Notamacropus eugenii: one gene and its partners. The protein of the gene in region 4 purifies or fractionates together with the protein of the main gene of each other region. This does not show direct contact. Links are inferred from orthologs where the notes say so. Each region holds a gene or a part of one and is shown on either strand. Other genes may lie near its edges. The genes, in order: KPNA3, DDX56, TBL1XR1 and MECP2.

Region 1 (7,749 bases), on a different chromosome or scaffold from region 4:
TTCTATGAAGTCATTCCTGACTGGATAGGTATGAAATGTTTTTCTTCTAAAGCTCACCTTGTACTCAATTCCCTAGCACAACTGTATACTTATGGGAAACTGTATTTTATTTCTGATGGTCCTTTCTATCTTCTTGCTTACAGAATTTTCATTATGTTTGATTTTTCTTTGTATACATCTACCTAACTATTCTCTGTTCTGTATTATAAACTCCTAAAAAGAAGCTATAGCAGTTAAGATCAATTTGCATAGTACCCAGCACCTTGTGCATAAGATTACTTTTTTCCATGTACATCATATATGACTGATAACTATATAATTTGATGTGGTTTAAAGGACAGACCACTAGTAAGTAATCAAAAACCCTAGATTCTAGCCCTAGTTTTGTCATAGACTAATGTGATTTGGAGTCTGGGGGTGGAGAAGGGGTTATCTTACAACCTTTGACTAAAATAAATAAATGAGTGAAAAAAATTACCTAGATACTGGAGTGTCAAGTATTATGATAGGATGTATTATGATAGGATCTTGGGAATACAAATAAAAAAGCCAGATGGTTCTTGCCCTCAAGAAATTTTTATCCTAATGCAGAAATGTAACACATATATGAGAGTTGTAGCCAAGGAAAGGAGTTTTGGTCTGTGAAGTCATAGGGCAGTCAATTCTCAAAATCCATAAGCAATAGTAGGACTGACTGAGAAGAGAATGGTCTCTGGAGATCTGGCCTGGAAGGTACTGTTCCAGCTAGTGGGGGAGAGGAAGAGGGCATTGTAACATGTCAAAAGGCAAGAGGTTTGGCAGTGGATGGCTTTTCGATGCCCAAGCTTGCCAATTTGTAAAATGAAGGATAATTACTGTTCTTCCTAAAATATTGTTTTAGGTCAGAATGTCTACCACTACTCATCCTTTAAGACACCCATGGAAGCATATAATTGCTCATATTTAAAAGACAGAAACTGATGTCAGGAGCAACAAACATTTAATGTATATCTATTATGCAATACGCATATAGTATAAAAGTACTGAATGTCACAGGAATACTAAAACAAACGGGGAGGGAAGGAATCATAAAGACAAAACTATCCAAGCATCCTAAGGACCCAGGGGGAAAGATAAATTTACCATACCTTCTGGGGGAACATGGTTAATTTCGATTTTTTACATTTTCTAACACAGGATAAGGCTGCAGCAGGTGGAAGGACTTGGTTGCCAATGATACTTCCCTGGACCTAAGACACTAGACTCAATCACTGAGGTGACCAGGAGAAAGCAATTTCCAGCTTTCTGAAATTCATTTTTTTACGAGTCTTAGAATCAGGACAGGTGTCTGTGGAGGGAAATGCAATCAAGGCCAGAACATACTCATGCAGAGAAGTCTCGGTTTTCTCTTTCATAAAATGAGATCTCCACAGTCATCAGTTATCTTCAAAATTATATATTCAGAAATGCCTCAAGATTTTGTCAGTGTAACTGTGCTTTTGAGAACTACAATGTTTACTCATTATAAAACAAGCAATAAGGATTTTTTCCCCTCACCGTAGAGTAATTTGGATTAATTTTCATTTGTAAAATGCACATTATCTTTAGCATATTATTTCAAACCTACAAATCCAAATCATATCCTGCCAAAGCGGATGAGGACGGGACGGGGCTCAAACACCGTATATGTGTGGGTACTGATGAAGTTTGTGCCTTCCACTGACATGCTTTAAACAGCTGCATAGAGACCCCTAGCGCTGCTCAGCATGAGATGAGTTACAAAGTAGTACCTGCTCGTGTCACCTTAATGAAACAATGGCAGCACACGGAGTGACCATAATGTTTACAATCTGGCCGCAGAAATCATCACCCGACACCGGCACGGCGGGAGCCAGAGACGAAGGATGGAGATGCCTCGACAATATTCCAATAAAAATACTTTCCACAAATGATCGATCGTATCACGCATGCATCGTATACTCCAAGGGATGTAAAGGAAGCCAGGAGGAAGGAATGGAAAGGACACTCCCCCCCTTTCTTTCCTCCCGGAGCAAGAACACAATAGATGCCCAATTATTGTCTGCCCGGCATCCTGATCCCGGTGCCAAGCGAGAGGGGAGTGGGAGCTCGGGGACGATCACAGGGTGAGCGGGGCCGAGAAGATGGTCCTGGCGCATCCCTCCCTCCTCCCCTCATCCGCCACCCGGCGCGACTCAGTGACCCGGCCTTGCCCCACGCCGAGCCCGGGCCGAGGGGCCGCGAGGAGCCCGAGCCCCAGGTGGAGCCGCTCCCGCTACGCAGCGAGAAGCCGGTCCCTCCTGTGCCCGGCGGGCGTGCGGGCCCGCCCGGCGAGGCGAGGAGGCGGCGGGCGTGCGGGGCTGCGGCCAGGCGAGGAGACGGCGGCAGCCCCCGCTCGCTCTCGCCGGTCGGCCTCCGGCGGCGCCTCGCAGCCGCACATCCCTCGCTCGCCTCCACCAGGCCGCGCCCGCGTGACGGAGGAGAAAAAACCCACGGCTCTTCCCTCGTCTCCCCGCCGGCCGGTGCCTTCCCTAGGCGGGGAGGGGAGCGGGGCCGCGGCGGCTTCGACCACTCCACCCACCCCCGCCCCGCTTCCCTCGCCGCCGCCCCGCGCTCCTCCCCGCCCCGCCGCCCGGGGAGGAGAGGGAGGCGGCGGCGGCCAACTCCGCACGGCGAACCGGCGAGAACCAGCCTGGGCGTCCGCCGCGGGCGGCCAGGCCCGGACCCCTCGGCCAGCGGCGGCGGCGCGACACTCACTTCCACATCGCGGCCCTTGTTCTTGAAGCTCTTGATGCGGTGATTCTCCAAGCCGGCGTTTTCGGCCATGGCTCTGCGCTGCTCCGGCGGCGGCTACTCGTCCTGCTGCGGCGGCGGCGAGTCTCCGGCGCGGGAGGGGGAGGGCTGGGGTTGGGGGAAGGGTGAGAGAGGGAGGGAAAGCCGGAGAGGGGGAAAGGAGGAGGGGGACGTTCCGTGACGCCTCTGTACGCTAGGGGAGGCGTGGAGCCGGTGGCGAGGTGGGGGTGGGGCGGGGGCGGGGGCGGGAGAGAGGGGGAGGATGGAATCTAGGAGGGGCACGCGCAGGGAAAGGGCTCCGGCACACGTGACACCCGGATGAAGACGCTAAAGCCGGCGGCTTGGGCTGCGGAGTGCGCGGGTTCCTAGGGCGACACACCACAGCAAACCTCCCACTTCCCCTCGCCGCCTCGGGGCTGCAGCTTATTTGCATAAAATGGAGCTGGGCCCTACGGCTTTTCCTTCTGGCACGAGGGAGGGAAGGCGGGGGACTACAGTTCCCGGCATGCCCGGCTCTAAGCGAGGCTTATAGTCCACCTCGATGGAGACAAAGTGGTGTATGCCGGGAGGATGCGCGCGCTGCCCGCCCTCGGGGCTCCACCCCAGGGGCCGCCTCAGGGAGGGGCTTCCTGGGGAGTGCGCCTGGCCATCCCGGGCATCAGTCCAGTAAGCGCCAAGTGATGAGGCACCTAGGACCCTGATCGTGTGCTGTACCCCGCTGCACAACCCTCCTGCCTCCCCACCATCACGTACGTGCCTACTTACGGAGGGAAGTGGAAGGGAGATGGAGGACCATTGGCCCCGGTGACCCCGGCTCTTCCCTACCTTCTAACCAAACATTTGTCTTTTCTCCCAAACAAGCCTTCCGGGCTTCAAACTGAATGGAGAGATGGGGAGAATTAGGCAGTCAGCATTGCCTCTTTGTACCCTGAGCACAGTGTCTGGCATGTGCTTAGTAGGTGTTTATCGAACTGAGTTGGGATCCCCTGGGGCGAGGGAGAGGGTGTCCTGGCCGAAGGAGCAGCCTAAGGAGTTTGGGGGGGGGGTGTTTCCTTAGACTGAGAGGAAAGAGGGTTTTACTGGTTCATGGCCTCAGAGCTGGAAGGGACCCATCGTTTTACAGATAAGGGAGCTAAAGGCTGGTCCAAGAACGCAAAGGGAGTGGGTGGCAGGGATGGAGAGAGGGAAGAAGTGATTGAGAATCAAGGGACTGGAAGAGATACCTGGAGAACCTGGTACTTCTAGGATGGAGGCACATCATAACGGCGAAATGGCTGAGCGTTTTATCACAGGAGTTGGGGTGGCTGAAAGTATTTTAAACATTGTGAGAAGTTAGATGAAGTCGATGGGATTTTGAAGGAAAATGTGACCTACCTGTAGCCAGGTGTTCAGGGACCTCCCCTAACTGACAGTTCAATCTTTGGGGCTTCCCTCAAAAAAAAAAAAAAGTCAATTTCCCTTTCAGCTCATTATTACCACTGCCGGGCTTCCTCTGAGATATCTCTGAATATAGCTTTTATATAATTAATGTCTAGGTTTCCACAAGTGCTAGTAACAGGGTCTCTAATTCCCTTAAAAGTCCTAGAAAGAACATATTCTTGTCAGGATAGAGGCCAACCCACACAGAAAACACAGAAGGTTAAAAAAAAACTCTCAGAAGCCCATAAACAGATAGAGAAAACTCATAAAACACTCATAGAAACCCTTAAGGAATCAATGCAATTCTCTTTATGATAGGTCCACTCTGGTTCACTAATCAATGATCTCTTACTGTGGAAACTGTCAAGAGTACAGCTACTATCATCTCCAACTACATGCCAGAAGCCACAAAGCCTCCAGATCAAAGGTACAATGGTGCCTCCCACAGGTCTATGGTTTCCTTTGGTCTTCAGGCTCTTGCTCTGTTTCTCCTAAAGAGGTACAAAGTCTTCAGCAGCTATCTGCCCCAAAGACTAAGAAGCAGATCCGTCTCATTCTGGAAAAAACAAGACTACTGTTGTCAGTAGATTCCATCCTTTGGTGAGATTAGTAAACCCTTAGCCTCTCTAACCAAAGACTTTCAGATTGGACCAGAACACCTTACTGCCCTTGCAGACCTCAAGAGAGCATTGTTTTCAGCTCCAGTTTTGGGACTGGAGTAAGTAAGCCCTTTTCTCTTTTTGTTCATGAATAGAGAGGTGGCTTCTGAGATCCTTAATCCCTTAGGCCCTCTCCTTGCCCCATGGTATACTATTCTGCACAGCTGGTACTCCAGCCATAGTAGGCTGTGTCTTGCCACTTTCTTTGAAGTAGAAAAGACATGTGATTTGGTATTAGGAGCTCCATTTGCAGTATCCCATGAGTAGAGGCTCTTTTGCTGAGACCTTGAACACAAACCTTTTCAGATCAGAGACTTGCTAGGTATGAAGTGACTTTACTGAACAAAGAAAGTGTGACTTTAAAGCAGTTCTCCGTTCTTAATCTGGCCACTTCATTCCCTGACATTCCAATTTCAGGGGATCCTTTCCATGATTGTTCCTCTGCTGTGGACATGGTTGAAAAGTCCTGCAATGACCTTTTGGATGCTCCTCTAGAGAATCCTGATTTTGTCCTATAATTGGATGATTCATTTTTCATGAGGGATTGCTTTAGGTGTGTAGGTACTGCCATGGTCTCACCATGATGTAGGAGATGAAATAACTGAGGAAACAAAGGTTTGAGCTTCTGATTTTATTTATTATTAACTTTTTAAGTATCAAGCATAATTAGAAGGATTAAATTATTAAGCAATGCATGCCAATTGCATAACAGATTGGGACCAGGCCTCCTCAGTTTGGCACTGACCCCAAAGACAGGGGAGATAGATTTTTATGCAATAAAAATAATTAACAGTATATAAAACAGGTTACAAAATTGGGTAATCTAATTTCTAACTATAGGAAAGATTAGGGGCTTTCTGAGTTGGGATGGAGATGAATGATCAGGTGCAATTCTCTCAAATCATAAAAAGAGGCATCCCACTTCCCCTCCCCTGAGTATCTTATTCAATGAAAGGAACAGTTTTCAGATAAAATATATGGGCTGTTTAAGATGTGCAGTTGTGAGAAACTCCTTACATCATTCTTTGGATCTGACTGGGTTTCTAGTCAGCATAGCCTAGGTCCTTAGTCAAGGGTCTCTAAGCAACTGGTAAGGGTAATCCAACTTTCCAGCCATATAGGGCTAGGTCCAAAGAATACAATAATGTTTTCTCACAATTTCCATAACTGAATGAAGTTTCCTCACAAGGTAGAAATTGGACTAGACCCATAATTGAATAGAAAGGAAACTGAGCTAACTCTAGGACTGAGTTACAAGATGGAGTCAGGTTCACTCAATTCTGTCTTTTGATTCATGGAGGATGGGCCATCCTACTTTTTCCATGGATCATTTACCTATAAACAAAATCTATGAGATTTTTCATATATTCATAATCAGAATTATATAAGTTAGACCACAGCTCAAACTACTTGGATGGCTCACAGTAAACTAATTTGAGAATGGAGATTTACATGTCACCAAGGTAACAAAGAAAACAGCATAAACACTGTGAAATGAAAAGTTGAAGTTGGTTGTTGTCCTTTGTCTTCAAAGAGGACCAGAATGACATAGCCATGATAAAGTGAAATTTCAGTGTGTCTAACTGTGGCTGATCAGACCACTACAAGCTCAGTATGCTCTACCACAGGTTGGGCACAGATAATCTGTGTGAATATTTGGGGTGGATATCCCAAATTTGTGCATCCTACATTTACTTTGTGCTGTCTCAATTCTGCTTTGCTCACAGAGCAGAGCATCCTTTCTGATGTGGGCATGCCATGCTGAGCGGTCCTGCATCAGTGCCTCCCATGTTGCACAGTCAAATCCAAAGTTCTTGAGAGAGACCTTGAGAGTGTCCCTGTATTGCTTCTTCTGACCACCATGTGATTGCCTGCCTCATGAAAGTTCTCCATAAAATACTCTTTTTGGCAAGTGCACATTTTGCATTCAAACAACTTGACCAGTCCGTTGGAGTTGCGTTTTCTGAAGCATAGTTTGAATACTTGGCAGTTCAGCTCAAGCAAGGACTTGTTTCTGGTACCTTATCCTGGCAGGTGATCCTCAGAATCTTCTTAAGACAGTTCAAATGGAAGTGATTCAATTTCCTGGCATAGCAGTGGTAGACTGTCCATGTTTCACAGGCATACAACAATGAGGTCAGCACAATGGCTCTGTAGACCTTCAGTTTGGTAGTCAGTCTAATACCTCTGCTCTCCCAAACTTTTCTTCGGAGCCTCCCAAACACTGAGCTAGCTCTGGCAATGCATGCATCAACCTCATTGTCAATGTGTACATCCCTGGAAAATATACTACCAAGGTAAATGAACTTATCCATAGCATTCAAAACTTCTCCATTTTGTTGTAACTGATGGTTCCACGTATGGATAGTGTGGTGGTGGCTAATGGAGCACCTGTGTTTTCTTGGGTTAGTTATTAGGCCGAAATTAGCACAGGCAGCAGAGAGTTGATCCATACTTTGTTGCATCTCAGCTTGAGAGGTTGCATTGAGTGCACAATTGTCTGCAAACAGAAAATCATGCATCAACATTCCCTCCACTTTGGTCTTGGCTTGTAGCCTTTTCAAATTGAAGAACTTGCCATCAGTATGGTAGTTGACCTTGCTGCCGTGTTCATCCTCATTGAAACCATTTGACAACATGGCTGAAAACTTAATGCTAAAAAGCATGGGAGTAAGCACACAGCCCTGTTTTACTCCATTAGTACCTGGGAAGACATGAGAGCATTATCCGCTATCCAAAACCCAGGCAAACATGCCATTATAAAATTGACGTACAATACTAATGAACTTCTCCAGGCAGCCAAATTTTGACATAATGTGTACAGAAATCAATAGTAAGTAATGGATGACTTTTCAGATGAAAGGAACAGCGTGAGAAAGGA
Region 2 (7,445 bases), on a different chromosome or scaffold from region 4:
GCTGGATTGGAGAAACGACAGAGACTTGAGGCAGACAGACCCAAAAGCAAGACTATTGCAAAAATCTAAGTATGAAGTGATGAGGCCCAATAATAGAGCAGTAACAAAGAGAGGAGGCACAACACATTGGAGAGATGTTACAAAGGTGAAATCAACAGTACTTGACAAAAAATTGGACTGGGCAGTGGGCGTGGGAAGGTAAAGAAAGACAGTGAGGAATACAGTAAGACTCATAGAATGCAAGTCTGAGGGACTGAAAGGATGGTGGTTTCCCTCTATAGTAATAAGAAAGATAGAAGAGAGGGAAGGATTTAAGGGAAAAGATAAATGAGTTCCATTTTAGACATACTAAAGTTAAGATGTCTACTGGAAAATCAGTTTGAGACATCTGAAAAGCAGTTGGACATTTGAGGTCAGCACGGAGATTGGAAGATAGGTAGATTTGAGAGTCATCAACACTGCGATGGTAATTAAATCCATGGGAGTCGATGAGATCACCAAGTGAAGCAGTATTTAAGCCTTGAAACCACTGTAGGAGGCAGAAACCATTCATGGTATTATGCCCATTTCACAGATGAAGAAACTGAACCTCAAAAAGGTTAACTGGTTTGCCTATAGGCACAGGGCTAGAAGAAAGTGCAACATGATTTATAACTACATTTACAATGTAGCTAAGGTAGAGCTGAAGTAGTACTAATTGCCAGTTATTATGAGAGAGGAGGCATCAGGTTGAAAAAAGATGGGAACTACTGCCATGAGCTTTACATGAGAATGCTTTCCCCTTGAAAAAAATGGTCAGGATGGCAGCTGAGGCACTTTGGGAGAATTCTCATTGTCTTCCCCAATTCCAAATCCTCCCCCCGTTATACCTCACCGGATTATGCAATACAAGCTCCTTGAGGGCCTGTACATCTTCATTAAAAGTAGCTGACATGAGGAAGGCCTGGTATATCCGAGGCAGGTGGCTGCAGAAGATCACAGAACGATCAGTTCCATCCTGGGCATTCAAACAGCTAGAGTTCCCAGTTGCCCCCACATCCACCCTGTAGCCTCCAGGACACTCAGTAAAGCAATTTCATCCCTACTCTCCACCCAAAGCCCTCCCTCCCAAGATTCAACAATCCCACACTCCTACCAAAGTAAGGTCTTAAGCTCTTCTTCAAAGCCAAAGGAAAAAAGCAAGTCAGCTTCATCCATTACAAGCAGTTCCAAGGAGTCACGCAAATTCAAATTTCCCTGCAGAAGATGACTTAGCACTCGAGACGGTGTGCCTACTACCACATCTGGTTTTTCCATTAGCAAGGGCCTACAGGAAGGTAAAAAATTAGTATCAGGATAGAAATATGCAAAATATACAAAGCCAAAAGAAATACAACTGGAAAGCAAGCACTTCATCACTATCCTTAATCTTTTATCTCTAGATGACTTTCTTCTAATTCCATTCCTTTCACCTACCTTTGAAAAGCAAAGTCCTCTGAAGCTGACACATCAACCACACGAACATCACGGGAACAATATGCTGTCAGTTGACGGATCATGGTCTGTGCCTGCCGTGCCAACTCCTTGGTGGGTACAAGAACAAGGCCTCGAACAGCCTGTTCTACCACTGGTCCTGTCTGTAACAGCATATGTCAAGGATCTTAACCAGCCAACTCAAATCACACTGTTCACTTCATCTCTTTCTTGTACTACCTTCAGTCAGCAGAGGCCACGCTCCTTACAAAAAATGGAAACTTATATGTCCTCTGCAAAAGCAACCTGATCTCCTCTTCAAAAGCAAAAGAACCTAACTCCCTTCAGTCACTGTCGCATGATTGGATTACCACAGCCTTGGCTTCACTCTATTCAATATTTAAAAGACATTTATAAAGACACCTAAAAAGTAACGTGATCTTTCCTTCACAAATCAACATAGATCATACAGAACCAGATTCTTTCCTTTCACTGTCACATGATTACCCAGACTTAGTTTAATTCTAGACCACATCTAAAAGAGAAGAATATGACCTCATGCCTCTCAAAAAGTACCTTTGAATCCTGGCAAATCCTGGCAAATCCTGGCCAGGAATGGGATGGAGACAGCTTAAACTGGCAGAGCTGACAGTTAAACTTCCAACTTGACAATTAACAACTCTGAAATCCACAAGCTACAAATCAGGCCTTGATTTGTTTTTGTCCACTGTCTAACTTGAGAAAATATTAAAAATCCAGATTAAACTTAAAAGCCTGTCCTTTATTTTTAGACATCTGTGAAATAGGCATACCATTAAAGGTATTGCTTGCAACTAAGGAACCAAGTGAGACCCAAAGGCTCACAGATTTGAAGCTGAAAGGGCTCTAAGAAGCTATGTAGCTCACCCTACCCCCTTTCACAAATGAGGAAACTGAGGCACAGTGGGACTTAGTAACTTGCCCAGGGTCACACCTGCAGTAAGACCTGGGTGGCACAACACCTCCCTGAAGATTTCCTTCCTCGGCCCCCCTCACCCCAAGGGCCCAGGCTGTCATACCGCCTTCCTATGAAGCAGATGCTGCAGCAGGGGAATGGCATACGCAGCGGTCTTCCCCGAGCCGGTGCGGGCCCGGGCCAACAGGTCCTTCCCCTCCAGCGCCAGCGGAACGGCCTTCTCTTGGATGAGCGTGGGCCGGGCCCAGCCCTGCTCGGCGATGGCCTGGGAGAGGGCAGAAGCGGAGAACGGTGGGGAAAGGAGGACAGAGAAAAGGGTGCAGACAGCCAGGCTGGGTCTGGCCTGGCCGGGTCAGCGCCGGGGCCGGGCGGCGTCAGACGTGGTGGTCCGGGGAGCCGCGTCTTCGGGGAGGGGTTGCAGGAACCACGGAAAGAGATGATCGATGACTGCCCCCAGATCTTGCCCTTCACCCGCCCTCTTGTGCCCCACTACCTGCAGGAGCCGTGGGTCCAGTCCCATGTGCTCAAAGCCCAAAACTTCGGAATCCGCCATGCTGCCGCGAAGAAACTACACGCATGCGCGGCAGGAAGTGTGGCCGGACACTGCGACGAGGCAGAGGGCCTAGGGGGCGGGGCCAGAACACTGCCCAATCAGATTGGGGACAGTAGCCTCACTCCCGGAAGAACACAATTCGCTAGGGGCCCGCCCAGATTCTGTCGCCTCCTGGCTGTGGTTGATCTTGGTTCCGAGAGAGCGAGGCGATGGCTTGGTCTTGTGTTTGCTCTGGAAAAAGGCGATTTGAGCTGGCTTTTGGTCATGGGAAAGTGGAAGAGCCCTCAGCTCACAAAGGGATGTCAAACCCTCAGATGCGAACAAGGTGCGTTACTAGGGTAAGGCACCGAACTGTTTGCCTCAGTTTCCTTTTCTGTAAAATAATAATGGCCAACGTTTATATAGTGCTTACTGTATGTCAGGCACTGTGCTAAGTGCTTTGCAAGTATTATCTCATTTCATCCTCACAGCCACCCTAGGAGGTGTCGTTATTATCCTCGTTTTACGGATGAGGAAACTGAGGCAAACTGAGGTCAGCTGACTTCCCAGGGACACAATGGTGGTGAGTGTGAGTCTGGATCTGAACTTGGGTCTGACTCCTGACCCAGCACCCTATCCCCTCTGCCACCCTGGGAATAAGAATAGCATTTACCTCCCAGAATTGTGAGAATAAAAGGAGCTATTGGTAAAGCACTTTGCAAACCTTAAAGCAGCATATGACAGTAGCTATCATTATATCACAGATCCAGAGATGAAGGGGAACTCAGAAGCTATCCAGGCCGTCCCCCTATTTTCCAGTCATGAGCAGCTAGGAAGTCTAAGATTGCCTACACTTAAATTCAGGTCTTCTCTGATAACAAATCCAGGGTTTTTCCCATAATGCCATGCTACTTCTCACTAAGAGTCTGTTCCCAATACATTACTGATTTTCTGGAATTTCATAAGAAACTGAGGCCCAAAGAGGTTAAATGACTTGCCCAAGGGCTCAGAGGTAATAAGTGGCAGTGAGAATTTGATCTGAAGAGCTGACTACAGAGCCTGGGCTCTTCACACTACTCTAACTACACTGACCTCCAAACCTCTACACAGCTGCTTACTTGGCCCCTCCATCATTCCTTTTCTATCTACCCTTCCCAAAAATGTCCATTTACCATAGTCTAAAAGCTGGGACTCCCTCACCCAACTGCAGCAACTCCTCAGCTTCCACTTTCTAAGTTTAATTTTTTTCTCAATTAACAAAACTCCACCTTTTCCCCTACCCACTTCCCACTCCACTGATAAAAACAAACCCTTGTAACAAATATGCATTTTCAAGCAAAACAAACTTCTGCTTTGGTCATGTCCAAGAAATAGGTCTCCAAATGCATCCTGAGCACATCACCTTTCTGTCAGGTGAGGGAGTAACATGGAATCCTGACTAGTCATTGCATTTATTAGAGTTCTTAAATTTTTGAGTTGTCTTTACAGTGTTATTGTTAATGTAAAAATTGCTCTGGTTCTGCTCACTTCACTGTGCACCATTTCATACAAAGTCTTGCCTGGTTTCTTTGAAACTGGTCCTAATGACTAATGTGAAAATGTGTTTAATGAGAAGGTATGTATAGAACCCATGTAAGATTGCATGCCATCTCAGAGAGGGAAGGGGAGAAAATCTAAAACTTATGGAAGTCATTGTACAAAACTGAAAACAAATAAATTAAAAGAAAAACTTTCTTTCTTACAGCACAATAGTATTACATTAGCCATATAACACAATTCGTTAGCCATTTCCCAATTGATGGGCACCCCTTTAGTTTCTAATCATTTGCCACCATAAAAAGAAGTTATTATACCTTTTATAGAGGGTCCTTTTCCTTTTTTAAAATTTTAGTTTTCAACATTCTCTTCCATAAGTTTTTTACCTTTTTTTCTTTCATTGATCTCTTTGGGGTATAGACCTAGTAAGCCGTGGGGTATGTAGTTGGATGACTTTGGCGGCATAATTCCAAATTGCTTTCCAGAATGGATTGACCAGTTTACAGTTCCACCAGCAATGTGATGACATACCTGTATTTCCATAGCTCCTCTGGCAAATTTGTCATTTCCTTTTTTTTTACTATGCCTTATCTGCTGGATGGAAGATGGAACGTTAGAGTTGCTTTAATTTGCACTTAGTTATTTAGTGTTTTGGAACATTTTCTTCACATGGCTATTGATAATTTGGATTTCTTCCCCTGAAAACTACTTGTTCATATCCTGTGACCATTTATCAACTGGGGAGTGGTATTCATTCTTATAAATTGGAAGCAGTTCCCCATATTTCTTGGAAGAGAGATCTTCATTAGAGAAACTTCCTACAAAAGTTTTCTCTTATGTTTTCCTTCTCACTTTAATTACATTGGTTTTATGTAAAAACTTTCTAAACTTTCTATTTTCTGTCTTCAAAACTGTTCATGTTGTTCATGATCCCATATCCACAGATTCATGAAAGGTATTTTCAACCTTATTCCTCAAATATATGTTACCCTCCACTTTTTTCCATTCAAAGGACAAGCAATGCACTTTCCCCTATCTGCAATTTTTAGAGAGCATATGTGTCTGTGAGTACTCTGATACTTCCATAGGAAAGAAGGAAATAAGTACCTACTCTGTGCCAGGCACTGTGCCCAGCACTTTACAAATACCCTCTCATTTGATCTTCACAGTGTAGGTGCTTTTATTGTCATTTTATAGTAAAGGAATTTGAGGCAATCAGAGGTTAAGTGACTTGTGCAGAGTCAGACAGCTATTAAGTGCCTAAGGATGAATTTGAACTCCAGTCTTCCTGACTCCAACATTCTATTACCAGCTGCCAATGAAAGACATTCTTTGCTGGTTCTCCTGAGATGATTGTGTCCAGTATTTTGTAAAACCTAAATACCATTCACATTATCTGTCATTACACTGGTGTCCCAGGACTATAAATCTGTGGGAATGATGGAGATGGGTTGTGGCACTGATTTTTGACAGCAATAGATAGCATGTTAAAGCAGACTGGGCTGGGCCAGCCTCAGGCAGCTGGATTTGGAGATAAGGGAGCTGAATGAATGGAAATAAATACCTGGGTGAGATGGAAGAATACAGTTTAGGCCCTAGTCTCAGAATGTAGAGTTAGGAAGACAAAATAATCGCAGTGAACAGGGCGCCCCCTGGGAGCCCAGAGGCGAAGGGCACATAGTGTAAGCCGAGCAGAGACAACTGAACTAGACTGAGGACAGAGCAACTGCTGGACCACGAAAAGAATGTGATTTAGAGGTGTATGAACAACACAGGTAGACTAAAGAAGTGAAAAGATCAGGGTGGAGGAGCAGCTATTGGGACAGCTATGCTGGCCAAGTCCCTGGGAAAATATCTGAATGTTCAGTAGGTTAGTCTGTTTTCCAGTCTTTGACAGTCTATGACAAAACTGTAAACTACTTGGAAAGACATCAGGACAGAGGTTTCTCTGTTATGTGCTAATACAATGGTAGTGTAGCAGTCACCCTGGCTTCTCAAAGCTCATGCCACATGGGTTCTGACAGACCCTATTAAGCTAGAAAGGTCAGTAGCAGTACAGTAATGGTCTAACATGAAATGTTCAACCTAGGTAAGTTCTGAGAGGATCACTGCCATACATTTGGCCACCAAGGTAACTATTTTTTGTCACAGCACATCAGAAAACCATCTACTATGGTACTTAGACGTGCCTGCATTGGTGAAAGCCCCTGACAAAATCAAGGCTCTTCTTAAGTATATACCATGCCAGCCTCCTCCATCACCTTGTGGTAAAAAAATTAGCAAAGAAAGGATACCCAGGACGTGGTGATGCACCAGCCTTTCTGAGATTTATCACAGCATCCCAACTCACTGCTTTCAAAACCGGTCTAACTCTGTCTCTATCATTTAAATGGTAATTTTCCCTCTTTCCAAAAAGTCAGGATAAAGAAAGCTCACTGAACTGAACTCTGATGTCTAGGAAAAGTATTACTGTTTTCTTTAAAACACAACTATCCATAGTCATGAGTCATATGACCTATAAATCTACCACGCCTGAAACATCTGAAATAGGACAAAAAATGAGTATTCTAGGATGAAGGAGGTTCGGTAAGTTCTAAGAATGATTCCTAAAGACTAAGACTGAAAAGACTGCAAGCAAAACCAGCCTCTTGGATGCTTTCCTAATTGTAATTAAGTCCTTAGATATGTTTGTTCTAAACTAGAAGGGTTTCAAGAGATTTAAGATCAGCTCCAAGTCATCCTTGGGGTTATTTCATAGCAGGTTACCTATACTCTACTATTCTGCTTGGTTTCTGGTCTGGTAAGAATATTTCATCTCAAACATCACAAGTTACCAGAACAGGTTTTATTTCACTGGAAAATCCATACAAAGAACTGAACCTGGGACCCATGGAGAAAATATTTACTGCATCTTAAATAAAATTTAACAGTTAGCAGCTCTGTGGGGGAAAGAGAGAAGAAGGGAAGAAA
Region 3 (7,282 bases), on a different chromosome or scaffold from region 4:
AGAAGTGAGCAACATCAACCAAACCCTCCCTCCCAACTTCACCCAAACATGGCTAGTCAGAATTTCTTTCTATGCAACAGCACTGTAATCAATTATAAAAGGTGGTTTCCTTTGTCAGCCATTCATCTGACAAGGTTTTATTTATGTTTCACTACCATACATGAACAGATATATTTATTCAACAGGTTGTCATTCAAAGGGTCCATTAATCACATCTCCTCTTCGGGTAATGTGTATGCTTATTCTGTGCTCCTTTCCTTTCTGGGTATTAGTTTGAAATGCCCTGAGTTCACGAAAGTAAGTTATTCAGTGTAAAGAAAACTGGTTCTTTTGTTATATATGTACTATTATCAACAATCTTACTTAGATATTAAAACATAGGAAAGATTTCTGGTGTGTGCAAAAAAGCTGTTAAATTTTATGTAATCTCTCAAGTAAATACAAAATATACACACAAAAGGAACCAATCCATCCCACAAAAACTAGTGTAAGTAAAAAGCAGTGTTAGTCTGGCAGCAACGACTAAACTCTGCAACAAAAAAGTTTAGGGTGTTTTAAAAATAACATACGGAGCGCATCTGAATCTTTACTTTTAAGAAAAACTTTCTTCTTAACACACAAATCATTTTCTTATGGGTACTGATTTTTATTTCCATTTAAAATAGGGAATTTGACACCTCTTTTTCCATTAATTCCTATCTAGTTAATAATGTACTTTAAGTAAAAAAATCAATACGTCACTGCAATAATGTTGATGATTTCCTTATCTTTTAAATAAATTGAAATTCACATCTCTCACAAGTACAGGTAATGGTTGATTAGCTGTATGGAATATTCAAAGCAAACTTTTTTTAAAAAATGTAAGAGATTTCAAACAAGACTGAAAGTACATAAAGGAAAAAACTTTCATAAAGTAGCATCAAGAATCCAAACACTTAAGTGGTTAGCCAATTTTTCTTTCTACTCCTCCTCCTCTGCCACCCTCACTGTACTCCCTCCCTCCCCAAGAAGCAAATGCTAAATACTTCTAGGAGTTGTCAATGATAATCTGGGAGGCCTGCCATTAAGCTCCCATGGAACAACCCGACATAAAACCCTGTTTTCATGGAGACAAACAAAGCTGTCCTGACTCTCCAGACTAACAACTTGAGATAGCAAGAACACAGTCTCAAGTGATCTGGGATTAATAACACACCGAAGAGGCACCGTGTCTCACTTAACAACAAAAAAAGAAGTCACCACGGGAATTTCAGCACAGTCACTAGCATTTGCCTAAAAGCATAAAAAAAAAAAACCCACCCCACAATTCCAAATTGCTTTAGGCATGTTGAAGAAAACATCATGAGGACCCCTTATTATCCACACACAAGAGGGAATCCCCAGGAAAGGGAAGAGAGGTTATTACTTAATTACAACTTAGCAAAGGGGGAAAAAAATTAAACCAATCAGGCTCAAATAATTACCCATGCCTTCAACAACCCGATTTGATTCAGCATAGCTAGCAAATCCACAAAAGGAATTCTTATTTGGAAAACAAGGAAACTGGACGTGACTCTAAGTAAAATTTCCAAAGCAGAGCATTTAAATTAGATAGTAAAATGTCCCATAATAAGACCTTTTTTAAACGAGAAGAGAGGGCTGCACCAAGCCAGGTTTTAATGAACATTAACATTGAAAAACATTACAACCATTTTAAGCCTGACTTAGGATCACTCAATTGTAACTTGCAAAAGCATGTTTTTTGAAGAGAGCGACATTATTTGAAAGCTCAACATGAGAAAGAGTACCAATCCCACATAAAGTTTTACCCCAAAGCCTACTACATACATCTATGCTCAGTGCATTAAGTTGATCTTGGCTGAAAATATAAAGTGGTTAATGTTCCAAAATTATAACTTCCCTAAAAGCGTTGAGTATATGGTAATGCATTCATGAAATCATTCACACTACATCCTCAGGTCCATTTCTACATAAATAAAAGTCTGCTTCGGCTGAAAAAACACCTCCATAGGGTAATTTCCATCGAACTGCAGCTACTTTATACCAACAACGTGGCCTTTACACTGTCAAAAAAAAAAAAAAACGGTGACCGTTCTAGCTGAAACTTACCAGCAAACTCCCTTGCTGAAATACACTTTTAATAACAACTTCCAACACACTCCTCTCCTGAACACTTCCTGAAGATAAAATTTTCAGCAACAGTAACTAAGTTACAAAGAAGCAGCTCCCAGAAAGAGAAAGGAAACCCCAATCACCCAGTGGGAAAGTGAGGACGGCGTGTCTACGCTTTCCCTCCCCTCCCCCCTTCAGCAGGAGTTCAGACACCAAGCACATTTTTCATCCTTCCAATTACATCCCTCGTTTTCTGAAATTTACACGACCGAAAACTATCCTAACCCAACCGGGGGAAGGTGCCCGGACCCGGGGTCGGCCCCGGGAGGGGGGGGGGCGGTTTTCCCCCGTTTTAAGTAACCAAGGTGTTCTTTCGGCTGGCCGCGGGTGGGCTGCAGAAAATTACTAATAATCATAAATGTGCCCGGAAAGGCGCCTTCCTCGCTAAAAATAGGCTCCGAAGGAGGCTGCCTAACGACGGCTCCTAATTCTATCGGCTGCAAATTCTTTTCCTGAAAGCCTTCCCCAAAGGAGGGAAAAGGCTCGGAGGGTGGAGGGTGCATGGGGGGTGGGGGAGGGTTAAAAAAAACCCCAAACGGAACCGGGAGCGGGATCACCTTGCTGAGGCGGCGGGGGCGGAGAGGGGGAGGGGAGGCTCCATCCCAATACCGAGGATAATAATAGCGCCCCGTCAGACACCCGCTCCCCAAAGGGCCAAGTGGAAAATGTGCTAGCCTTGGGCCCAGCCCCCACGCCCGCCACCGGGAGTCGGCGCAGCCCCCTCCCCTCCACGTCCACCACCCCCCCGCCCGCCCAGGCCTCGTCCCCGCTCCCCCTTCCTTACCTGGCGCCGCTCCCCGGGGCTGGGCTGGGCCGGGCTGGGCCGGGGCTCGGCCGCCCCTCCCGCCCGCAGTGGAGGCCCAGCGAGTGCCCCCGGCCGGCCGGCCTCAGGCGCCTGGTCGGACCGCGCAGCCCGGGCGGGAGCGGCCTCGGCTCCGGGCTGGGCTCCGGGCGGGCAGCGCGACGACTCCGCCGCCGCCGCCGCCGCCGAGGAGCCCTCCCAGCTGCGCCCGCCTCCCTGCTCCGCGCGGGGGCGGCCGGGGCGGGGGCGGGGGGCGCGAGCCGGGCCGGGGGAGGGGGCGGCCGCCGCGCCGCCGCCGGGCCGCGAGCGGGAGCGGAGCACGGAGGCTGGAGCCCTGCGGCTCGGAGCGGGCGGCCAACGGCTCGGAGTCTCCGCGCCGGGGAGCGGGGCGCGGGGCGCGGGGCGCGGGGAGCGAGCGCGGAGGGGGAGGGGAGCGGGCCGGGGGAGGGGGAGGGGGAGGGGGCCGGACCAGCCAGGCGCAAATGAGCTCGCGAGGCCCGCGGCGGCGGCGGCGGCGGCGGCGGCGGCTCCTGCCGCACAGCCAAACAAACCCGAGCGCGGCGCAGAGCGGCGCAGGCAGCCAGCGCCCGCCCGGGGCGGGGAGGGGGAGGGGGAGGGAGAGAGACGCCGGGGAGGGGGAGGGGAGAGGGGAGGAGAAACGAGCGGGGAGGGGAAAGCGGCGTGGAGACGGGGAGGGGAGGGAGGAGGAACTGGGGAGTGGGAGGGGAGACGGAGAGGAGGAGGGAAGAGGAAAAGGAGGGACTGGGGAAATGGAGCTTGGAGGGGGAGGGGGAGAACGGGCCGGGCCCAGCAGGGGGGAGGCGGCGGGAGCCTGGCCGCTGGCCTGCTTGCCCCAGCTGCTGCAGGCCGCCGGGGGAGGACGGGGCTGGGATGCCCATTCCTTTCTAAAAGGCAGGCACAGAAAACAGGGGCACGTTCAGAGATGCAGGCACCAAGGGCATTTCATTTCCGGGGCTTAGCCGAAGGGAGGGGCTGGGGTGGGCCGGGAGGACCCCCAGGACACTTTCCCGGGAAGGGTCCTGCGATGGCCCGGACGCCCCGCTGCCCAGGGCTCCAGCGGGTGGGGGGATGCTCTCCGCTCCACCATCCGCACACGTGATCATGAAATAGACATGGTTACATAAAGCATCGAGGCGGAGGATCCGTGCAGGCTTCTGCGCCCGGAGAGCCCGTACGTGTGCGCTCGCTGGCGGAGCTGTGCAAGCACGCGCACATGTCTGTGTGTACAGGGTGGTTCTGTTTCATCTCTGATAGGCCGCTGACTTTAATTTCTCTCTAGACCCCTAAAATCATGAAGAAAAAACCAGGAAAAGGGTAGGCACACACACTCGACCCCGCATTACAACTGGGATGTTTCTACCCAAATGTACTGTACGTTAGGCATTTGGCCGTATTGATCTTAGGCTGGGTCTTGTTTTAAAGGTTTATTCTATCCTCTCTCATTTTTTAGCAAAAATAAGATGATTTGCTACGTGTTTACCAAATATTTGCATCAACAGCAGCAAAGACCAGGGAAGTTTTCTCACCTTTTACTTTTGATAGGTGTGTATCCCATCAGCACAAGCCATAAAATATTACTTAGAAAAGTGATAATGTGCTGGGGTGGTTAAACTAGGGGGGAGGGGAAGGAGCAGGGGGGCAGGGTTTCGTTGAAGTTTCTATCCAGTAAAACCTAAGCTCCCTGAACTTTAAGGACAGTGCCTGGCACAGGGTAAACTGTGAGTAAATGTTTATTAAATCAAATTGAAAGAGGTGAATAGTCACCATTTAAAGAAAATAAGATGGGCAGTCTTTCTAAAGCATATAGAAAAAGGGGGGGTAATCTCTTTTGTGGCATAGAGAGACCACATTATAAGCCTTCAATCCAGTTTTGAAAATATAATTTGTAACAGATTTTGCTTTCTTTTGAATAATTACTTTCTTCTAAGTAAAGTGGTTCCTTTCTACGTACTTGTTAAGCAAGGGGTTTTGTGTGTTGGACTTTCTTCAAAATGAATATTCTTAACAGTGTTTTCTTCAACTCATGCACAATGAGTTTAATGTAGCTAAAATACATTAGAAAATACTCATTTAAAATCATTGATAAGTTTTCAGAGACTAACTAAATACCTTGAAGAAATCTTCCAGTTATCTATCTGCCCATAGTCTGGTAGCTTTTTTGGTTAGAGGCCTAAATGATGAGGCTAAGGCCAAAGGATTCAGCCTATCCCTAGGGGCCACTCAGTTTCTCTAGTATGGCCTTAGAGTTCAGCGATGTCTATGCCCAGCTAACGTGCAGGTGCACAGCTTTGGTCACCACAGGAACTGAGAAAAGGAGCATAAGTAGAAACTGGCCACAGCCACTGGGCAGGGGGTGGGGGGGAATCCAACTCCAAGCTTTTCTATTCCTTATTAAGCATGTGTGAGAAGTCATCCTTGTACATAAAAGAGAGAATATATACGACATGTTATCTTTAAGTGAATGTCCTCCGTACAAAGTACACACAAGACCTCCAAATCACACCATAGAATTAATATAATTCCAATATACTCAATTTTATGGTAGTATTTTTTTTTGAAGGTGGAATGGAATCTAGGAAATTCCCTCCATGATGCTGACCTGTAATCTTACCTGTAAATGTAGTCTTAGGTCCTGAGGGTAGTGTAGTGGGGATAGAGAACTAGTCTTGGCTTCTGAAAGACCTGAAAATACCTAGCTGGTTAGGAGTTAGTTAACAATTTGTATAATATTTGTATGGGAGGAGGGGGGATCATCTCTCTAGGACAGATCAACTCTCTAGGACAGACACAGTTTCAGCATCGGGAGAGATGTCAGTACCAATTAGCCTAGGCCATAGTAGGAAAAAAAAAAAAAAGTCCTCCACTACCCCCAGGACAAGTGGTCAATCATCCAGTCTTTGCTTCAAGACTTCCAGTGAGGGGGAGCTCACTTCAGCTCAATTGGGAGTTCTTTATCACAACTCATTTCATCTCTCTGGGCCTCAGTTCCCTGATCTTCCAGATGAGGGGGTTGGAGAAGATGATCTCAAAAGTCTATTCAGCTCTGCTATTCTCTCGTGTGATCCCAAGACCTCAAAAAACCAGTGAAACAGATTCATACATGTTGGGCCTTCAGGCCATCTCACATGCAAAAATAATTTCTCTGAGTCCTCTTTTCTTGGAGTGTACTATTTTCTGTAATAGGAGCTGTTCTTTTAAATCAGAGATTTGAAAGCAGATCAGGATTCAATTCAATCTGGCAAGTGTTTATTGATCACAACATAACAAGTATTTATTGACCACCTATAGTGGAGTCTGGAAGACATGAGTTCAAAACCGGCTTCAGCTGTTTACCAGCTATGTGACCCTGAGCAAGTCACTTAACCTCTGACTCATTTTACTCGTCTGTAAAATCAGGATAATAGCAAGTACCTCCCAGGGGTGCTGGATCAAATGAGATAGTATTTGTAAAGCACTTTGCAAGCCATAAAGTGCCACATAAGTGCTTATTATACCTTATTATTTTTACTGTTGTTACTACATGCCAGGCATTGCACTAGAGGCTGAGTGGGGATACAAAGATAGAAATGAACCCATCCCCGTCCTCTAAGAGCTTACATTTTTTTCTAGGAGAAAAGGATGTACACTGTGAGGGAAGCAGCATTACACAGTTGAGAGCAGTGACCCTAAAATGAGTCAGTGGGTCCTGACAGGAACTCAGAAGCTGGGTCTCCCACCTTTGTGATTTTGGTTAAATCCTAACCTCCTCCAATTTCTACCTCTCTAGCATGAGATTGAATTAAATGGTCTCTAATGCCTCTTTCAGCTCTAAATCTATGATCCTAAGGGGAGACAGAGACAGAAAGAGGAGAGGAGAGACAGAAACAGAGAAAGAGAAAGTACGTGAGGAGGGAGGGGAAAGAAGGAGACAGTGCAGAAAGGCTTCCTGTAGATTTAAGATCTAAACTACACTGTGAGAGGTCCTATGAAGCAGAACATTCCAGGCTTGGAGGCAGGAACCTGAGGCAGCAGGTGCAGAGTCTGGTTGCCTCCATGTATCTCCCTCCCCACTTTACTGCCTTCTCCTTTGCATGAGACAAAGTCAATAAGCAGGACTTCCTCCATAGTTTTGTCATAGGATCAGAGATTTAGAATTTGAAGGGAGCTCAGAGGCCATCTGGTTAACCACATAGACTCCATTTTTATAGGAAGAAAACTGAGGCCCAAGGAGTCTAAAGGAACTTGGGGAGGGGGGGGGGTAGCTCAGGTAGCATTGGAGATAGAATTGGAAGCCAAGTTCTCTCAGTC
Region 4 (7,070 bases):
GAGCTATCAGGACACTCAGAACTCTGATGTCTAATTTACACCACTAATTCAGTTAAATGTATTTTTCAAAGAAACCCCTCCCTAGATGAGGTTTATATTTATTCTATTTAAAGGACCAGGGGTGTGAAGAACAGATGACTGTCAAGGAGGTTGCTGCTCATGGATCTACTTTCTCCATTTCTTAAGTTAGACATACCTCTAACTTGTACAACAATGCCCACTTTGATATGTTTGTATGTATTTATCTACACTTATAAGCAGCATGGTCTAGTGGATAAAATACAAGCCCTAAAGTCAGGAAGCCCTGGGTTCAAGTCCTGCTCCTGACACATGCAGGCTGTGTGACCCTTGGCAAGTCACTTACCCTGTCAGTGGCACCGGCAACTCTCTAAGACTAGAAATTACAGACCACGTTTCCATACCAGGCGTTTCCCACAGAAATGAAACCACACATCCTAACCAAAAACAACAAAACAGTGGTTAGGCTACTTGTCGGCTTAGTATTGTAGAAAGAGTCTGGAGTTGGAGAAATTGAGTTCAAATCTCCTCCTTATGTGTCTGATCTTTTCAGCATTCTCATCCATAACATTAACTGATCTCTAAGGTCTCTTCTTCCAGCTTTTAAACCGACAGGATTGATAAAAAAACAAAACACCGAGAGCACAAGAAGAGTGACACTTTTACTTCTAGCTTGGTTTTTTGGTTTTGAAAGTTTCAAAAGGTTCACAGTATGAATTACTAGGCTTGCTTGACCAGGAATTAAGATCAGGGGTAAAAAACAAACAAAAAACCACCCTGTCTTTTTTTTGTTTTAACTGGGTCGTAGCATATTTTGAAAGACTAGGAATTTGATTTGTTGAATTTACCAGAACGTAGGGATCCAAATGAAAGCTTCACACTATGCCAGTACTATAGTTCTCATTGAGGGCATTAGCTGCCTTATAAATGTTTAATTTAATGAGCCATAGGGGCAAGGTTATATTTCATTTTCATAGCTTAACTAAATCCATAAATCTTATAAAGTTCCTCTGTTAGAAAGTCTAGGTCAGTATGCTTAAGACAGAGCAAGTTTAGTTCCACAGCCATAGCCCTCAGTTCTTACAGAACCCAGCTGTCTCACCCATGCATGCTACCAGTCACAAGGGGTGTGTATGGTTCAGCATAACCAATTTCCACTAGTAAAAATATACAAATAAAAAAAACTGTCTGCACACGTTCTATGGAACAAAAGTCAAGAATGTCTCCTTTGTAATGATGTATATTTGTTGTGAACAAGCTACACTCTTACATACCTAATCTTAAAAGCAGTTGACATATTAGGTGAAAGAAAAAAACTGGTTTGAATTTTATTTGCATTTTAGAGCAATTATTTTTCCTACAGTATCTGTATATATTAATTTCATAAATGGTCTCTGGGATGAGATAAATCTTTTCAGATTCTTCCCAATCTCCTTAAGTCTTCAGTGGAAAGCTGTACACTTTGTACTGAAACCTAAAACCAGGCCAAAGTCACCTAGTTTTGCTAAGAACTTGAAAGTTTACAATCAGTTGGGCCAAGTGTCACATATGAAGGTCTTGATTGCTACTTACACTTCGGAAATTTGAAATGAGTTTCAGTTTGGGGAGTCATTCAAAACTAAACTAGGAACAAAATAAAGATGAAAGAACTAAAGGTAGAGTACATCAGACTGAAGAAACCACTAAACCAGACACCCATTGTCCTGCCTGTGACTTTGCTCCAAATGAACAATTCGAACTCAGGGCTCCAGAGTATGGCCCATCACTTTTATGTAACTGGAAGATTTTGGGTGGTGGGGGAAGGATGTGAGGTGTGCATACCATACTCCAACAGCCACAAATTCAGACATCCCCCAAGATGATGAGAGGCACAACGTGAGGCTCTTCACCAAAGAGCCTCCTCGGCTGCAAGTATCAGAATTGGTGACACTTCCCGAACTGCTTCTATTAGAAAAGGCTGTGTGGGACAGAGGGGACACAATGTACACTCCTCCCTATGGGGTAGGCAGTAATTCCCATCTCCCTCTTCCTGCCACGGGGGAGGGGAGGAGGAGAACTGATAGTCCTGTGGGGACTGGCAAAGATGTTGGGGACGAAAAAAAAATAGGGAGTTAACAGGGCAGCAGAAGAGGCAAGAGGAGGGGAAGGAGAGGGAGGGAGGGAGGGAGATGGGGCTGCTGTGGCGCACTCTTTCGCCGGGGAGTAGGACTAGTACGCAGGCGCAGGAGGGGAGGGGCCAAAGTGGCGGGGGGGGAGGGGGAAAGTCAGAGAAATGGGGGAGAAATGGGGGGGGTGGGGAGAAAAAACAGAGGGGGGAAGGAAATAGGGGGATGGGGAGAAGAAATAGGGGGATAAGAGACAACGGGGGTGGGGGGAAGAGAAAAGAGGGGATGGGGAGGTGATGGGGGGAAGGGGAGGATGGATGGAGGAGCGAGCGCGCGACAGCGGGCGTGCACGAGTTCGAGCTGGGCAGGGAGGGGGCGGGCAGATAGGCCAGGCAGGAGCGCGCGGCCACGGCGCGAGAGCAGAGGACTGCGCGGCGCGGCACGGCGCTCGAGGCCCACCAGCAGCGGGCCGGAGCGCACGAGCGCCTAACCAGGGCCAAGCAAGCGGGTGGGAGGGCGTGCGCGCGCTGGGACGCGCGCCGGGAGGCCGGCCGCCGCGAGAGGCGGGGTGGCACCGACGGAGGGCCCCGGGCTCCAAGGAGGGGGGAGCAAGAGCGAGGGAGGGGGGAGGGAAGGAGGGACGCCATCCACCAGCCCGGCCCGGCTCGCCTCCCCGACCCCGTGGCCCCCGCCCGCGCTGCCTCCTCTCCGCGGAGGGGCCCCCGCCCGCGGCCACAGCGGCGCCACTCACAGTCTGTCCTCCTCGCCTCCTCCTCCTCCGCTCAGCGCGGCGGCGGCGGCCATTTTCCGAACGGCTTTTACCACAGGACTCTTGATGAGGAGGGTGCGCGCGCGCCGCCGACAACCTGGGAGCGCGCGCGCCGCTCCACGTCTCAGCCAGGCCACGCCCTCTCTATCCCTCTAGCTTCCCTCAGTTCCCTTACCCACCACTATCCCGTCCCTTCTTTCTGGGGCTGGGCGGCTCCACCCATGCTCCTTTGTGATTGGATGGTGGAGACGTCATTCTGAAAACTCGTGCATGATTGGCTACGGAATAAGCGAAGGAGGCTGGAGTCCTGATAGCAGCTCCATGAATTGGCGGAAGTTTCTGTCAATTATCGCCCAGGTGGAAGAGAGAGGAAGCCCTTTCTGACTGTTGATTGGATAATGGTAATTTAATGGGACTGCGCCAATTGGGCGTTCTTAGCTGTCGGTTCAGGAAAGTGGGCGTGGCAGGACATTTGGGATGGTCTAGCGGTTGAGATTTGAATATTAACGCTTTTAAGCATCCGCTCTGCTGTTTTCTCTGCTGAAGCATATTAGGATTATGCATTTGTCCCTTTTATAAACCGGCTAATGTCCACCAGTCACATACACACGTACTTGCACGTATAGCCGTCTGACACACACTTTAAACCCATTCATTTAAGTCTATCCGTACCTTTAGGGAAGGCAACCTCTAGAACAAGGATATGGCTTCAGGGTACCCTCCCCTTCCTCGGCCCCACTTCGCACCACTGCAGGTTCATATAAACGCGGCCAAAAGAAACAGGCCACATCAACTGCATTTATGCAGGAGGTGGGCTTTGGTCACAGGACCAGGATAGCATGCACAAAGACTCCTCTTTTCGACCTCAATGTTAGTGGGGCAACTAGCGGACAGAGCACTGAGTTTGGAGTCAGATGCTTCTTAGCTGTGTGACCTTGGGTAAGTCACTTAGTCTCATTTTCCTCATGTGTAGAGTGGGGATGATAACTATAGCACCGATCTCCCAAACTTGGTATGAGATAATTGTAAAGCCCTTAGCACAAGTGCCTGGTCTATACATAGTAAGTGCTACATAAACGTGAGCTGATACGACAGCCTTACACCATGGATCATATGGTATGTTTTTCTAGGATGCAGTTTCCACAGCCAATTTACACTTGCTTGCCAATGACATTCCCATACTGGCCGACTGATCACGATCTCTTTTCCCACACCTTCCCATCTTGGAACCCCTCGATCCTTTCAAAGCTCAGCTCAAGTTCCATTTCCTAATTAACAATAGCTTAGATTTCTATAGAGCTTTAAGGTTTGCAAAACACCACATATTTTTTCTCATTTGATTCTCACTGCATTTAACTATTATCTCAACTAGGCTAAGTGATTTGTCAGGGTCACACAACTAGTCAGGCAACATTTGAATGCAGGTCTTCCTGACTTCTGATAATATTTAATATAAATTTTGGACTTTAATAAGGGCCAAAGCTTGAATTAAGAAGAGTCTGGACCTTTGTTATCTTAAGTAAACTCAGAGAATGCCTTTTGGTGTCAGCAAAGCAGATGGGGCTGACAGTAATTTCCTTAGGAGACCCTTTTCCTGGCATCTTAGTGATAAGGAAAAACACAGATGTCTTGGGTTGTAATTTCAATTGAAACTTTCTTAAAGGTGCCCTTTCATGTGTCAGCAGGAGGCCTGCCATCAGAGTGGTGGGATTTTCTCCTTATCTTATGTCACAGAGACATATGTTACAGAGAGGAAGTTACACAGCTTGGGATCATAACTGACACTACTTTGTTAATTGTCTTACTAAATTTATGATTTGTTCAACTAAGAAAGTTCCTTTCTCACGGCAAAGTGTATTTAAGACAGACGATTTCTGTACCAGGTAGTCAGATTAACCTCTGACTCTGTAATGCTATGTAACTGTTATCTTTAATAGGGAATTGTTTAATTAATTAAATCATAAAATATATGCATTTACCCTGTTGCCTTTTCTCTACAGTTTTCAGGTCCACACTTCCCAAATTACACTGTATTTTACATTTGGTAACATCCATAGGAAATAGGCCATCCCTGGGCTTTCCCCCCCACGTTAAAAAATAATACTAGCGGGAACATTACAGGGCAGCTAGATGGTATCGTGGATAGCTTGGAGTTAGGAAAATCAGTAAGGAGATCACTGCTGATCCCTCCAATTCCAAATGGCATCTTATATTAGAAACAACCAAAGAGATATTTGTAGATGTCACCAGGGTGAAAATTTGTTTAGCTTGTCTATGCATACATGGTGTCCTCCAAAGTCTTAGTAAAATTTTAAGCTGTTGATACTGCACTAAGACTTTGGGGACTCTGTATTGTTACAACAGTTTGGTTGTTCTTTTTGTTTTTTTTCCCCACTGTGGAGTGAGGTGAGGGTAGAAGAGAAAATAAGTGCTTGATAATTTTTAAAAAGTATCTTGTATCTATTTTGAATATAACAAGAGGCAACATGGTGTAGAGGATGGAGAGCGAGCCTCAGAGCCAGAGACGCTTGACTTCAAGCCCCTGCTCTGACACATGATGGCTGTGTGACTGCCCCCCCCATGTGTCACATGACCTCTTAGTGTTCTAGAAAACTCTGTAATTTATTTGCAAAGAAAGTTCCAATCTGCATTGCTAGAAGGAGTTTCCTCACCCTGGAGTTACCTATACAGGTGGTTCTCAAACATTTTAGTCTCAGGCCCTCTTTACCCGCTTAAAAATTATTGAAGATGCTCCCAAAGAGCTTTTGTTTATGTGGGTTATTTCTGTTGTTATTTATGTTAGAAATTAAAGCACTTTAGTATGATGAAAAGATTTTGACCTTGCAGACCCCCTGAAAAGGACCTCCTAGAAGTTCCTGGACAACACTTAAAAACAACTGCCATATACCAATGAAATCACCAATATAGTCCCTTATTTCTTTGAATATACTTGTATTTGCTGGCTTCCCTCCCTAGGTTGTAAGCCCTTTGAGGGTAGGGGCTGTCTTTTGCCTTTCTTTGTATCCTCTTGGATTTTCACTGGGCCTGGCATATAGTGAATGATTAGTAAATGTTTATTGACTATCCAGTCCTGACTAAGGCAAAAGATGCCCTACCCTCTAGGAGCTCACAATTTAATGGGGGAGACAAGCAAACAAACCATATCTAAGATGAAAAAAGAAATAATCAAAAGAGAAGGCACTAAAATGAAAGAGGATCAAGAAAGGCTTTCTGTATCGCTGGACCTAAGAGTTCACAATTGGGAGAAAGGTGAAAGAAGACTGGAAAGGAAGGGATTACAGGTTAGGAGGGCTTTATAAGCCAGAGAGGAATTTCTGTTGGATCCAGGAGACACTGGAGTTTGTTGAGAAGTGACATGGTCAGACCTGTACTTTAGGCAGACAGACCCACCAACTGGCTATTGCAGTTGTCCAAGTGTGAGGTGATGAGGGTCTGCACCAGGGTGGTAGAAGTGGCAGAGAAGAAAAGGGGATGGATGTTAGGTAAGTAAAATAAAAAGGTTTTGGCAACAGATTGGAGGGAGGGAGACAGAGACAGAGAGAGACACACAGAGACAGAGAGATGGAGGAGTCAGAGACACAGAGAGAGACAGAGACAGAGAGAGTAGGGTGAGAGAGACAGAGACAGATATAGAGAAACAGAGACAGAGAGAACGAAGGTGGAAAGAGAGACAGAGAGAGAGAGAGATTTGGGGTCAGACTTATGGAAGTGACTGTCATTGAACTCATACAATCTTTGCACTTATTTCTTTTTTCCCCCAGATGTTTTATTACCTTATTTTTGTTTTTAATTTCATATAAATTTTTTTGTTACATTTTAAGTTCTGAATTGTCTCCTTCCCTCTCCACCCCAAACTAGAGGACACCATTTAACTAAGATGTATATGTAAAACCATACTATTCATGCTTCTATTAGTTCTTTCTGTGGAGGTGGATAGCATTTTCCTTCATAGGCCCTTTAGAGTTGATTTGAGTATATATAATACTCAGAACAACTTAGTCCTTCATAGTTGTTCTTCAAATAATGTTGCTGTTACTGTATACAACATTCTCTGGTTCTGTTCATTTTACCCTTCATTATTTCATGCATGTCTTTCCATGTTTTCTAAAATCAACCTGCTCATTATTTCTTTAAAAAAATTTTTTAGCAAATAGTAT

The links.
Region 1: the proteins of MECP2 (region 4) and KPNA3 purify together in Homo sapiens (affinity purification with mass spectrometry; 3 studies listed by BioGRID and IntAct, counting the BioPlex papers as one, with this or other methods). This does not show direct contact. The link is inferred for Notamacropus eugenii from reciprocal best matches to the Homo sapiens genes MECP2 and KPNA3.
Region 2: the proteins of MECP2 (region 4) and DDX56 purify together in Homo sapiens (affinity purification with mass spectrometry; 3 studies listed by BioGRID and IntAct, with this or other methods). This does not show direct contact. The link is inferred for Notamacropus eugenii from reciprocal best matches to the Homo sapiens genes MECP2 and DDX56.
Region 3: the proteins of MECP2 (region 4) and TBL1XR1 purify together in Homo sapiens (co-immunoprecipitation; 3 studies listed by BioGRID and IntAct, with this or other methods). This does not show direct contact. The link is inferred for Notamacropus eugenii from reciprocal best matches to the Homo sapiens genes MECP2 and TBL1XR1.

Annotation. Positions count from the first base shown.
Region 1 is NC_092876.1:106,566,890-106,574,638, reverse strand, and holds the start of KPNA3 (importin subunit alpha-4), read right to left. Parts: upstream 3,003-7,749; 5' UTR 2,824-3,002; coding exon 2,755-2,823; intron 1-2,754. UniProt on the Homo sapiens protein: Functions in nuclear protein import as an adapter protein for nuclear receptor KPNB1. Binds specifically and directly to substrates containing either a simple or bipartite NLS motif.
Region 2 is NC_092872.1:522,870,155-522,877,599, forward strand, and holds the start of DDX56 (probable ATP-dependent RNA helicase DDX56), read right to left. Parts: upstream 3,010-7,445; 5' UTR 2,961-3,009; coding exon 2,901-2,960; intron 2,673-2,900; coding exon 2,511-2,672; intron 2,134-2,510; exon of another isoform or gene 2,029-2,133; intron 1,617-2,028; coding exon 1,456-1,616; intron 1,307-1,455; coding exon 1,136-1,306; intron 966-1,135; coding exon 875-965; intron 1-874. UniProt on the Homo sapiens protein: Nucleolar RNA helicase that plays a role in various biological processes including innate immunity, ribosome biogenesis or nucleolus organization. Plays an essential role in maintaining nucleolar integrity in planarian stem cells.
Region 3 is NC_092877.1:346,937,129-346,944,410, reverse strand, and holds the start of TBL1XR1 (F-box-like/WD repeat-containing protein TBL1XR1), read right to left. Parts: upstream 3,021-7,282; 5' UTR 2,957-3,020; intron 2,800-2,956; exon of another isoform or gene 2,110-2,799; intron 1-2,109. UniProt on the Homo sapiens protein: F-box-like protein involved in the recruitment of the ubiquitin/19S proteasome complex to nuclear receptor-regulated transcription units. Plays an essential role in transcription activation mediated by nuclear receptors.
Region 4 is NC_092879.1:23,083,959-23,091,028, forward strand, and holds the start of MECP2 (methyl-CpG-binding protein 2), read right to left. Parts: upstream 3,001-7,070; 5' UTR 2,928-3,000; coding exon 2,875-2,927; intron 1-2,874. UniProt on the Homo sapiens protein: Chromosomal protein that binds to methylated DNA. It can bind specifically to a single methyl-CpG pair. It is not influenced by sequences flanking the methyl-CpGs.